Linked DNA regions of Cricetulus griseus. The protein of the gene in region 1 purifies or fractionates together with the protein of each later gene. This does not show direct contact. Links are inferred from orthologs where the notes say so. Each region holds a gene or a part of one and is shown on either strand. Other genes may lie near its edges.

Region 1 (6,689 bases):
ACAGTGTCTCTCACTGGCCTGAGGGTCACTAGTTGATTCATCTAGGCTTGGGGGACTGGGGTGGGGGTGCGGGGTTCAGGGTTCTTCATATCTTTGCTTTCTCAGCACTGGGATAACAAGCCTACCACCACACCTGACTTTTTAAACATGAGTCTGGGAGCTCAAACTCAGGTTTTCATGCTCCCTCAGCAACTTCACCAACAACCATTTCCCTATCTTTCCTTCTGTTTTCTTCTTTTCTTTCTTTCCTTCTTCCTTTTTATAAAAAGGATCTGCCCCCCTTTTCCCTTCTTCTAACAAATGCAAAACATTTCTCAGTGTGTGTAGGAGGGAATATGGTCAACTGATTTCACTTGTATTTTGTCAAATTTGGGTCCCACAGCCATCAAAGATGCACCATTTCCTCTAAGACTTCTAAGGGGGTTATTACCATGGGCCTGCTGTTCTGGTTTGTATTAGAGGAGACACTATCTTCTAAGTAAAACATGGAAGAGGAAGTGTCCAGAATTGTAAATAAGGCTTCCAGAGAAGCCTTGTTTTGGGACCATGATGGAGAAAAGCCATCTTGTCCAAGTCAGGATCCATCTTTGCTCCCTTTACCCAAATCTGACACAGACACTCCTGGATCATTTTCTGAGGTTTGTTTTAGTTCGTTTGCTTTACTCTCCAGAAAGAGATGTTTCTACATTGTTCACAAATAAATACCTCTCCAGTAAAAGTCTGCTTACGCAGTAGAAGACCATTAAGAATGAGCCAGAACCTCAGAATGCTCTCCATAGGTACACTGGAAAGTGAAAACAGTGAAGGCTTCAAACAGCCTTCAGATGGAGTTTCCATTTATGAGAAGAAAATGCAATACAAACCGACCTGAATGTGCATAGAATTTGCATGCCTCCATCAAAGCAAGAGGGCCACACTGAGCATCTCCATGTTTTTCTAGCATAATTTCACCACATAGATTCACTATGTGCTGAAACCTTTTTTTCTGTGAACTTGGGGAAAAATCAAAAAACCAAACCAAACCAAACCACAACAAAAAACCGCTGGAGCGTGGCATGTGCTTCTAGCACCATTCTTCCAGCTAAAGTACATTCATGAAGAAGGGACAACGCTGTTTCTCCCCTCTTTAAAAAAGGAAAGCATCTTGCTACTTTAGTTGTGCACTAATGTACCTCAATGTTACACTAATGTAGTTTGGATTAGATATAGAAGCAATAATCTTTTCTTTTTACCCTGCTAAAGGACTGTCCTTTAACCTGTCATTACGAAAGCATTTGGTTATTGTCAGGGGTAAAAGATGTAAGGGATATTTGTTGTCATTTCCCAGGTGTGGAAGAAATGGAAAGAAAACTAGGGACGAAAGTGGTCATGAAGGAACCACAGTTCCTCCTTGGTCACCACTTGAAATCTACATAGACGGAGAATGTAGGAAGTCTGTTCACACAGGGACCATTTGTCCCTTTGCTCCTGCAGTGACACTCCGGTAGAGAAATGCCCCTTTCCCTTTCGCTGAAAAGTCTCTTGGTTGAAAGATCAGCTCTGAAAAAGGTCTGGCCAAAGTCACTCTAGGGGACCGTGGTCACGGAACCGGGTGGACCAAACTACTCTAGCAGTCATAGAAGGGTCAGTGCCCATCACTGTGCGGGGAGCCCTGGTCACCTCCAGCTCCCTGGATCTCTCGCTGTAGGCTTTTTGGACAGAACCAGGCAGGAGTCCCTAACCGAAATGTCTTCTAGAGCTAGGCAGGTAACTTCAGAATTGAAGTTGCTGGAGATGGAGGTGAAAACTGTAAGGGCATTGGCAACCTGGATAAGCGTCTAATTAAGGCATTTAGTCGGGAATTTTAAATTTATAGCTCAGCTGGCCAAAGCACTAAAAGCAAAACTCCCAAGTACTGGCCAACTCACTGCAAGTTGGTGCCCCAAATACATCCAGGTCTAGTGTTCATATGCTCCAACCTGCCGCGGGTTTCTTGGTCGCTTGGGACGCTCAGCTGCAACAGCGTTTTGAGTTCTGTACTTGGAGGCGCCTAATGAGGGCTTAATGGGCCTTTTGATTATGGTGATGCTTCCCAGGTTGTGGGGACAAAAGTTTCTCAGAACCCGTTGCTGGCTACATTTTACTTCCACCAGAAACCGAACTGCGTTCAGTTTTTCTCCCGGCTACGACTTGCCGGGCTAGTGGGGGAGTGGGCGTGGGAAACCGGGAAATCCAAACCCGGAATCCAGTGAGGGGCGTGGCCGGACGCCGGGAGTCCCCGCCCCTCCCAGAAATGGCCCCGCCCCCATACTCTAGAGTTTAGCCTGCGCTCGCGGTCTGCACTGAATCCTCAGGACCCCAAAAGAGTAGCAGTTGGCTGTGTTTCCTTAGATTGCACGGTGCGTTACCTGGCACGATAGAAAGCTCAGATTGCGACCCGCAGCCGGGATAACCTGGCTTGCCGGTGTCCGCAGATTCCGCTGCAGTTGCGGCCGGAGCCCGGGTGCCCTTGCCCCGCGCTCTCCCGGTCCTGCGCTGCAGGGTGCGTATCGCCTCTGTGACTTTTTTGCGGGCCAGGGACCGAGAAAGAGTCTGTGCCTAAGAACTGGGCTCTGTGCCCAGAGCGAGGTGCAGGATGGAGAGCAAGACGCTGCTAGCTGTCGCTCTGTGGCTCTGCGTGGAGACCCAGGCCGCCTCTGTGGGTAAGGAGCCCACTCTCTGAAAGTAAAACGACGAAGTAGGGTGCGGGCGGAGAGAGGGGATACAGGAGAAGAGGACCTAACTCGGAGAGAACTAGGGAACCTACCCTTTGGTGTTCTTTCATTATCTTCGGGGAAACAGCTTCAAAGACTAGTCCAAAACGACCCAGCCTGTCGATGGTCCCCAGAACTCTAATCTCCCCCGGGCTTCAGTTGGAGCCTGTTGTGCGGACCCAACACAGCCTCGGGCTCTGGGGAGGCGGGAGTGGGAAGGAGATGCCCCACAGGCAAGAACAGGCAATAAAACGCCTGGAAGCAAGCGCAAGCCGGGCGCCCTGCGTGGCATCCTGCACTCCGCGCTGCCTCCACCGAGTGGAGCAGGGAACCCGCCCTCTGCTCCGCTCCCCTTTAGCTCCAGCACTTGCGCACACCGTCTATGTGAGGTGAGATCTCTTCATAGGGCGACACTTTGCTCCTCCAACTTTCTTTGGTGCAGAATGCTACTTTCCTCGCAGGAAGAAGAGGCAGTCCCCCCTTCTGTGACAGTTACTCCGAGTGTCTTAAAGTAACTATCCACCTAATACCCCAAAACGTTTGGTCCTGGGGTAAACTCAGTCAGAAACAGAGTTTCAGAAATCTCTTGGGTTTGGCACTTTATAGAGCCACTTTTCATGACACTTAAAATTGCCCTCTGCTTCAAGGTTAGTCCTTCCCTTCCCTTCCCTTCCCTTCCCTTCCCTTCCCTTCCCTTCCCTTCCCTTCCCTTCCCTTCCCTTCCCTTCCCTTCCTTCCCTTCCCTTCCCTTCCCTTCCCTTCCCTTCCCTTCCTTCTCCCCCCCCCCCCCCAGTTCTCTTCCATTTCCTTTTTGTAGCCAGTTTGCTCGTTTCCCAATCTCTACCCGTTGGAGAATGGAGGGAGAGTCAGAAAAAATTCAATTCCGTAAAAAATATTCCTTGCATCAGAAGACAACTGCGTGCCTTAAAAACACTGGCACTGAAATACAGTACCAAGATCATCTGTCTACAGTTATTGAGTTTTCTTCATAATGACTCGGTTCATCAGGCCAGCTCCATCATGGGTGCTCATTTGTCCCTGACAAACGCCCACTCTCCCCCCTTCTGGGAAGAGAAAGATAGTCTGGAATATGTGCTTGCCCTGTGTCCCACAAAGAAGTGAGTTGCTTTGAAGCCTGGGGTGTTCCTAGAGCAGCAGTTTAACAGTAGCCTGGTTCCCTGAATAAAATGGAGGTTGCCCTTTCGGAGTGTGTGACTTGCTTAATTGGATTGGACTATAATTGGTGCCATCGAAGTCTAGAGACAGAGCTGCTGTTGTTTTTCCTTCTTGTCTTCGAGCAGGAAGGATAACAGTGCACAAATTAATTAGTGTTGGTTATGGGATTCGAACATAAAAGGGCTTTTATTGTGTAGTAGCATATGTACCTCTTACAGTCAGAACTAGCTTTCTAAAGGAGAGGACCCAAACTTGCCAATGAAAATGAATGGGGTTTAATGGGTGGAGGGAGTGTTAGTCATTGATGTAACTCTCCAGTTATTATTGATAACCTTATTGGCTAGATTTGATTGTGGAGCGATCCCTAGAATAGCGTGGTGTTGTATATGGCTTCTTGTGAATGGGATGTCTCTTAAAGATGAATATAGCTAATGTGCCAGCAGTCTAAGATAATCTCTGGCTGTACTTTATTACAGAGACAGTCAAGAGGCTTTCAGTGGCTGTGGCATGTAGATCAGAGATAGAGCACTGAGAGTCTGGGTTCGCTTCCCAGCACTGAAGAATAAAAGTCATTTGCTGCAGAGGTAGAGTGGACACAGCTTATTGAATGGTGGTTATTTACTACCACATTTTCCCTTACACATTTGCCCAACTGATGGCTTCTTTTTCATTTGGCTCCTCATATGAGTCGTATCCAGTTATTGTTTTGGGGTTAATATTTCTGAGTCATGTTTAAAATCTACTTATCAAACAAATTGTATTTTTCACTTCTCAAACCAAGTAGCATTCCATCATTGGAAGACGTGTTTATGTGCTTGCCTTCTTTCATATTGAAAAGTGATTACACTGATTGATTAAACATGACTACCCATGACTACCCCACAGAGCACCCGTGACACAGTCACTTTAAATGCCACTTAAAGTGTATATTTGCAGATCTAGGAATATCCAAACACCACATAAAGTTCAGAACCACTGCCCAAATACAAGTCATTGATGATGTCAACTAGCTTCTGGGGGTTATTAATGTCATTTCATTTCCAATGATTGAAAACATGTCATCAATCAATATATCTATAGTTAGATCAGCAACATATGTGCATCTGATTAGATTGGGTGTATTTGGGGTGGTGTAGCTGTAGATTGTTCTGCACATCTGTGCAGGTGTGTGAGACCCTGTGCTGTCAGTTAACCACCTGCTTCCAGTTGTTCACATAGGGGCCACGGTGTCACAGCACTGGCTATTTGCCCTGGCTGTTTGCTCATACTCTCTTCTTTCACACGGCCCCGTATTTGTTCACGTTCACTTATTTGCCCAACAAGGTCAATGCCAGCTGAGACCCTACGAGTCATCTGTTCTGAGTTGGTGTGAATTAGAAAGCCTGGGTGGCTGCCTGGTATTAATTAGTTATCTTTTTCTTTTGAGACAGTCTCACTCACTATATGGCCCAGGCTAGACTCAAACTTACAGTCCTCTTGTTTGGTCCATTTGAGTGCTGGGCTTCCTGGTGTGCACCACCAGGCTAGGCAGATCAGTTACTTTCCAAGCTGAGAGCTGGAAGATTTTGATGTCCCTTAGCATGGTGGGCAACTCCTCTTTTTCTCATGCTTTTAACATGCCTGGTAACACTTTACATTTAGATGACTGACACCTAGTTATCTTGCTGTGGTGTGACCTGTTAGAGACGTGTATATCTCATGATATCTTTCTGTGTTTTAGTTTTTTTAGGTAACATGTATCTTGTGTCTGGAGCTTTGTGTCTAGATGAGCTCAGAGCTTTGATTAATTAATCAGTTGAGAACCCCCCATTGTAGCTCATTAGAGTTACACTATTTTAAGTTTTGCTCAGAGGAAAAGTATATTAATATGCATGTATGCATGAACTTGAGAGATTTTTACTCTTCCTCAATTCATTTTCCTTCATCTAAACGCCCTGTCTTTATGAGCCACTACCGCAGCTTGATTACCAAAGGAAATCTGCTATACTGCCTGATAAAAGACAATGGGACAAAGGTCACAGTAGCTCCTGCCCCTTTTTTGGGGGGAGGTATGGAGATGAGCTGTATAGAGATCTCTCTAGGGAGTTTTCATTAATCAGCAATTTAGTCAGATGTGTACATCCTATGCTTTCCCAAGGGCCTGAGATCATCAGATGGTGGCTCACCGGGTTTCGATGTCCCATATCCTTTTGTAAGACCTTGAAGTTGGCAGTGCAGGAAAACAGGAACTCCACCCTAGCACTGTGAATTGCAGAACTGTTGTGTTGGTTTGTGACCATCTGCCCATTCTTCCTGTTATGACAGAGCTTGTGAACTTTTACTGGGAATGGGGCAAAGCAGATTCCACTTTTGTACGATGAATTGCTGAAGAGGTCTTTTAAAACTTGGAGTATGCATTGCTGATGGAAGGTGTTTCCTATGGGGTCCGACTCTTGTCTAATTTCTTTCTAGGTTTGCCAGATGATTCCCTCCATCCACCCAAGCTCAGCACACAAAAAGATGTACTTACAATTTTGGCCAATACAACCCTTCAGATTACTTGCAGGTAAGGGTTCGTTTTAGATTCAGATTTCCTGTGTGCAAGGACTCATTGTTTACTGAGGTCACAACATTTCCATTACTGCAGAATTATAATAGTATTGTTGTAATTGTTTATAAGTCATGAGGCTTCTAAGAACTCATGCAATAACGAAACAATGAGAAAGGTCTCTTCAAACTTTTGTACTGTTTTGACGGGCCTTTTCAACACGTACAAATGCATACTCACATATGCATTTGCAC
Region 2 (5,965 bases), on another chromosome or scaffold:
TAGTATTACCACTATGCTCATACAGAAGACACAATAACCTCAAGAATGCAGTTAAATGCAGTAACACAGTTAGAAACATGAATTCTGAGTATCCGTAATCTTTGCTTCTAGCATGTTTCTATTAGTTACATTTCTGTTGGTGCGACAGAACAGTTGGCAAAAGCAACTTCTAGAAGGGGGGAGCTTAATCAGGCTCAGGGTTTGAAGGTGCAGTGAGGAGGGGCAGGGAGGAGAGGCTGGAGGTAAAGGGTCACCCCTCTGTGCTCCTGTACAGTCAGGAGCAGACAGATGGAGGCAGCTGCTTCATTTACTATCTCCTTTTTACTCAATTCAGTACCCCAGTCCCTAGGGTGATGATGCCTATATTGAGTGTGGACTTTCCCATCTCTGTCAATGCTTTCTAGAAAACCGTAACAGTCACATTCAGAGGCATGTCTCCTAGGTTGGTTTCAAATACCCAAATCCTAAGTTGACAAACCATTTATAATAATGATTTATTTCATCATATGTTCAGATGATTTAATTTTTAATATGGCTACATTTAACAGTCAGATCACAGATATTCCCCAATTCTAGTCAAGTTTTCAAATCCATGTTGGTATCAGCCAGCTCCAATGTATCACTGGCATGTATCCTGTTTTTGCATGGGGCAACAAAAGAAGCCAAGGTTTCCTGGCACTCATTTCCAAGCGGACTGCTCTACTCATTAGTGCAAATCAGCCTTAGAAATTCAATTAGCTCCATTTTACAGATGAGATGGTAACAATATAAGGGATAATGATGCCTTTTATTCTTCACTGGCAAGTGGCTTACTGGGATCCAGGCACCATTCTAGGCATTGAACACAGCTAAGAAATGCTCATCACTGCTTGCGGTGACCTGGTGAAGAAGAATTCACTGGTGACCAGTCAAAAGTTCTTGTTTAAAGCCTCAGTGTCACAATGAGGATTGATCCCTATACATCACTACACATATGATACTATGCACATAGTGCATATATGCATACAGACACCCCCACATGCATGCACACACACAAACTTGCACAATTGTGTGTGCACACACTCACAAATGCAAGTAGCCATACTTTCCGTTCCTAGCTCATGTTGTCTGTTCTTTCCCAGATCAAGTCCAGCGTGAACCGTAAGAATGCCAAGTATGTCCTCCAAGGAGAGTTTGCTGGCACCATCTTCCGGGTCAATTCTGACTCAGGAGATGTGTATGCCTTTGAGAGATTAGACCGGGAAAAGGTCCCTGAGTACTACCTTACTGCTCTCATTGTGGACAAGGAGAGCAACAAAAACCTGGAGCGACCTTCCAGCTTCACTGTCAAGGTTCATGATGTAAACGACAACTGGCCTGTGTTTACAAGCCAGGTATTCAACGCATCTGTGCCAGAGATGTCAGCTATGGGTATGTGCCTAGTCTGCCCTCTCTTTCACCTCTCACATCAGCCATCTCACTGCCTAGGGTCAGGCTTCAGTAAGTTCAAGGAAGTAGGTGTAATGTTGTGTTGCCTCTTGACATGATTTCAAAATTTGTCCCTAAAGGCTAACCTCTGACCTAGTCCCACACTAAACCCTGTCCCTAAACACAGATGGGTTCTGATTCTCATAATGTGCTAAGCACTGACTATCCTTATAGTCTGGGCCCTGACCCTGACCCCAGCGTGTGTCATCACACTAAATATAGGTTTAGGAATTGCTAGCCTGTCCTCATCCTGCTTCCAGAGGCACAGGAAAAGAGTGTCCAGGCTCTGTGTTCAGGGCCCGGAGGTTGGACCTTTTTGAGGGAATCCTAGAACTCCAGAGACTGAGAAGTGTGGTCCCCCTCACTCTGGAGGCTTCCCAATACCCTTTCCTGTCCCACATTCTCTCATCTTCAAAAGAGGTGAAGCCATCCAGAACCCTCCCGTTTCTCTCTCAAACCAAACATCTCCCTCTCTTCATTTCTCCCACAAATCCACAAACCACCTGTTCTCTTTGCAACCTTCATGACTCATCTGGCTGGGCCTACCATTGCTGGCACTTCACCCTCACAATGGCCCCTCTGGCACAAGGCAAACTTTCTCCCTCAGCTTGGTGGTAAGAACAGCAGAACCCCATCTGCTCCCACCAGGGAATCCAGTAAGAGCAGATACACCAGAATTCTCTCTCTCTCCACAGGGACCTCCGTCATCCGTGTGACAGCAGTGGATGCTGATGACCCCACGGTGGATGGCCACGCCACTGTCATGTACCAAATCCTAAAAGGAAATGAGTACTTCAACATTGATAATTCTGGTCTGTATGAGTAACCCTTTTGGGTGGGTACCTCTTTGGGGGATTTGGGGACATGAATATTGCAGGTGCCAATGCAGAGGGAAGTCTAACCTGACAGGTGTCACCAGCCATTGCTCCAGGGAAGGAATACGTAATATACATAAAGACATATTGGGGCAGGTTAGGGGAGGAAGCAAACAGGTGCTCAAAGCATTCACGGAAAGAAAATAGGGGTCTTTTCACCCTATTTTCAGAGACCAGGACTCAACAAAAATGCTAGTTGGAAGGTCTTTGTACATGTCCAGAGACATTGAGTTAAAACCCTGCACTGCTACTCAGTTTTACAGTCCTTGGGCAAGTCAACTAATGCCTTATAATCCTTATTTCCTTTGTCCAGAAACTAGGAATGTTCATAGCCCTTTGTTCAGTCGCTATGAAATTTGAATTAGATTATGCACAGACACAGCCATGCCACATAATTTTTTTGTGCCTTGCTAAAGGGAAAACTTTAGACCAATTAAATTTTATCAAATTTAATTTTGCAAAGAATAGTTCACAAATTGGGACACCCCAGAAGCCAAACAACTTCAGAGAAACCCCATGGCTGCCACATAGTTGGGTGGTATTTATAGTGTAGAAAAAAAATCCTGCAGTCTAGAAAGAGCTCAGTTGGTTACAGCTGGGTGTCTGCCTTATTTGAACAGCTTTGAACAGGTGGCAGCCTATGATTAACTGGAGCACAGCTGCTGTGATTGGCTGAGCATACTCCTAAGTTAGGGGTTTAGTTTATTTACACACTACTAGGTTGCAGTTCATCACAGAAGGATTCGAGTCTGCAAAGTACAGAAGGTTTCTCAGGCCAAATTTGGTTCAGTTTAACACATTTGAAAAACTAAGTGTTGAGTCCTGGAAGCAAGAAAGAAGGCCAGTTAGTCAAACTAGGCATACTGTCTTCAAGGAGATGAGCAAATACATAATGCAACTGATAGTTCTATGTGCATCAAGATAGACATCATTAATCCATCACAGCTCTCAACACTAAAAATTGTAGCCACTTCTATATATGTCAAGACAGACGTCATTAATCAAGTACAACACGCTCAGTATAAAACATGGCACAGCCAACCATATCTATTTGAACCAAGGCAGACACCACTTATCCATCACTCTGAGCCTGGAACTGGCCTTATGGTATTTCTCAACATAAGTCTCTCTCTGGCTAGGAACAATATTGGACCACACATTTTGGCCAGCTTTTAGCCATACAGAGCAAGATCTGGAAGAAGTGGGCTATAGTCCTGAGGTTCTCAATCTCAGATATATAGTAGAGTCACCTATGTCTTTTCTAGGGAAGGTCTGAGCACCCAGATTTTCTCAAGATTCCTCAGATAACACAATTCCTTTTGGGACACTTTTTTTTTCAGGACTCATTTTAACAAAGGACAAAAACTTAGACAGAGAGACGAAGGCTGAGTACAAGGTTGTGGTGGAAGCACGAGATGCCCAGGGTCTTCGGGGAGAGTCAGGCACAGCGACTGTGATGATCAGACTGGAAGACATCAATGACAACTTTCCCATCTTTACTCAGTGTAAGCCTCTCCCATTGAGCCTTAAGCAGACAGGCTGGGACAATCCAGACTCAACGATTTGGAGGGTCTCACAAAGGTACCCCAAACCTCTTTACATCTCCCCATATCCTGGAGTGCTTCTGGAGCCAGAATATGGAGACCTCACACCATCCTTATACATTGCTCCCAAGGTCACCCAATTCCATTGATGGGTCCCCTCTCAGACCAGACAAAAATCACACCTTTGCTGATGCCACTGCAGTGCTTCAAGTAGCACTGTGAGGTAGAGGTGATGTCACCCAGATCCCACAGGCTTGGCAAACCTGGCCTCTGAGGGCCCAGCTATAAAATCCCAGAAAAATAGGGGTACAACAAAAGCCTGGCATAAACCTACCCACAAATTGATTTTCCCTTAAGCCTGTTAAGAGCTTTTCTTGTATCCCAGGTGCCATTGGGTAGGAAAAGTGAGTGGGGATATTCTTGGCACCCTCTAGCTCTGCTTTCATTCTGGCCTCAGTTGCCCCCAAATTGTCTAGCTCTGAAGTAGCATTGCTGTATATGGCATAAATGTCCCGAGGGCAAGATTTGTCTTTCTTGTCTGTTGATGTTCCAAAGTACAGAATGAGCTTAGTAACTACTTGGTGCATTGACAGAAGGATGGTCCCTTGCCTTGGGACCCAGAATCCCATGGTCATAAGTTTCTTGCCTGTTTCCTGTAACAAAATATTGTATGATACCCAGATAAGGCAGAATATACCTGTGGCCCCAACAACAAGAGACAGAGACAAGAAAATTACAAGTTCAAATCCAGTCTGGGCTACAGAGCAAGTATCTATCTCAAAAGTTCAAAGGGTAGAGGTGTAGCTAAGTGGTAGAGTGTTTGCCTAGTCTAGGTAAGACTGTTGGTTCAGTTTCTCTCTCTCTCTCTCTCTCTCTCTCTCTCTCTCTCTCTCTCTCTCTCTCTCTCTCTGTGTGTGTGTGTGTGTGTGTGTGTGTGTGTGTGTGTGTGTGTGTGTGTGTGTGTGATAATATGAAGGGACAATTGTCTTATCTATCTCATTAACTCTTTGTGGTACTCTATGCATATCAGCCACATACACATTTTCGGTGCCTGAAGACATCCGTGTGGGCAGCCCCTTGGGCTTTCTGTCAGTTGAGGACCCAGATGAACCTCAGAACCGAATGACCAAGTACAGCATCATACAGGGCGAGTACAGGGACACTTTCACCATTGAGACAGACCCCAACCGCAATGAAGGTATCATCAAGCCCACGAAGGTATGTAGACTTGTAGTTCTGAATCCAATCATGGGCTGTGGAGTTTGGCATCCAAAGGACACTCAGGGATTGCTTCTGAGCCACAGTCCATTGAAGGAGAATATTCTTGTACAGCTTGGAGCCAGCCATATGCTCACGGAGACTCTAATCCAATGTCTCAGGCTGAGTTCCAGAAATAAGCCAGGGGCAAGGCTTTGGGAATGAAATGTTTATTTGGGAAATAATCCCTGGAAGCCTCAGGAGCAATGACTAGTGGCAAGAAGATAGATCCTCTTGAGATCAATGATGAGCAGGTTACAAGTGGGGCCCAGTCCCATGGGAGCAACATAGAGCACACCTCAGAGCTGCAGCAGGAAGGTCAGGTGCTGGGGTAAGCAGCCACAAACCTTGCAGTGCAGACAGAGAGCACTTGTTCTAGTATCATTTCTGTTGTTATAAAATAACCTTGACCAAAAACAACCTTGGAAAAGGGTGTATTTGGCTTACAATTCGAAATTGAGTCCATTGTTAAAGGAGAGTCACAGTGGTAAGAGCTGGTCACATCACCTCAACAGTCAAAAGCAGAAAGAAATGAATGCACTCATACTTCATGTCTGTGGCTTCAGCTGTTTGCTAGCTTTCTCCTTGAACACAATTCAAGACAAGGCCTAGGGAGAGGTACTGCCCACAAAGGGCTGGGTCTTCTACACTAATTAACAGTGGAGAAACCCCCACCTCCCAGACAAGCCCACAGGCAACCTAATCTAGGCAATTCCTCAGTTGAGGTTCCCTTCTCAGGTTATTTGGAAAATATTATTCCAGGTAAAATGGAAACTTGGCATTTGATACTTACCAGCACAGTGCCCCCCAACATTAGAAATA

The links.
Region 2: the proteins of Kdr (region 1) and Cdh5 purify together in Homo sapiens (affinity purification with western blotting; 3 studies listed by BioGRID and IntAct, with this or other methods). This does not show direct contact. The link is inferred for Cricetulus griseus from reciprocal best matches to the Homo sapiens genes KDR and CDH5.

Annotation. Positions count from the first base shown.
Region 1 is NW_023276807.1:142,448,684-142,455,372, reverse strand, and holds the start of Kdr (vascular endothelial growth factor receptor 2), read left to right. Parts: upstream 1-2,614; coding exon 2,615-2,681; intron 2,682-6,359; coding exon 6,360-6,453; intron 6,454-6,689. UniProt on the Homo sapiens protein: Tyrosine-protein kinase that acts as a cell-surface receptor for VEGFA, VEGFC and VEGFD. Plays an essential role in the regulation of angiogenesis, vascular development, vascular permeability, and embryonic hematopoiesis.
Region 2 is NC_048596.1:180,296,345-180,302,309, forward strand, and holds part of Cdh5 (cadherin-5), read left to right. Parts: intron 1-1,121; coding exon 1,122-1,410; intron 1,411-2,162; coding exon 2,163-2,279; intron 2,280-3,682; coding exon 3,683-3,847; intron 3,848-4,916; coding exon 4,917-5,104; intron 5,105-5,965. UniProt on the Homo sapiens protein: Cadherins are calcium-dependent cell adhesion proteins. They preferentially interact with themselves in a homophilic manner in connecting cells; cadherins may thus contribute to the sorting of heterogeneous cell types.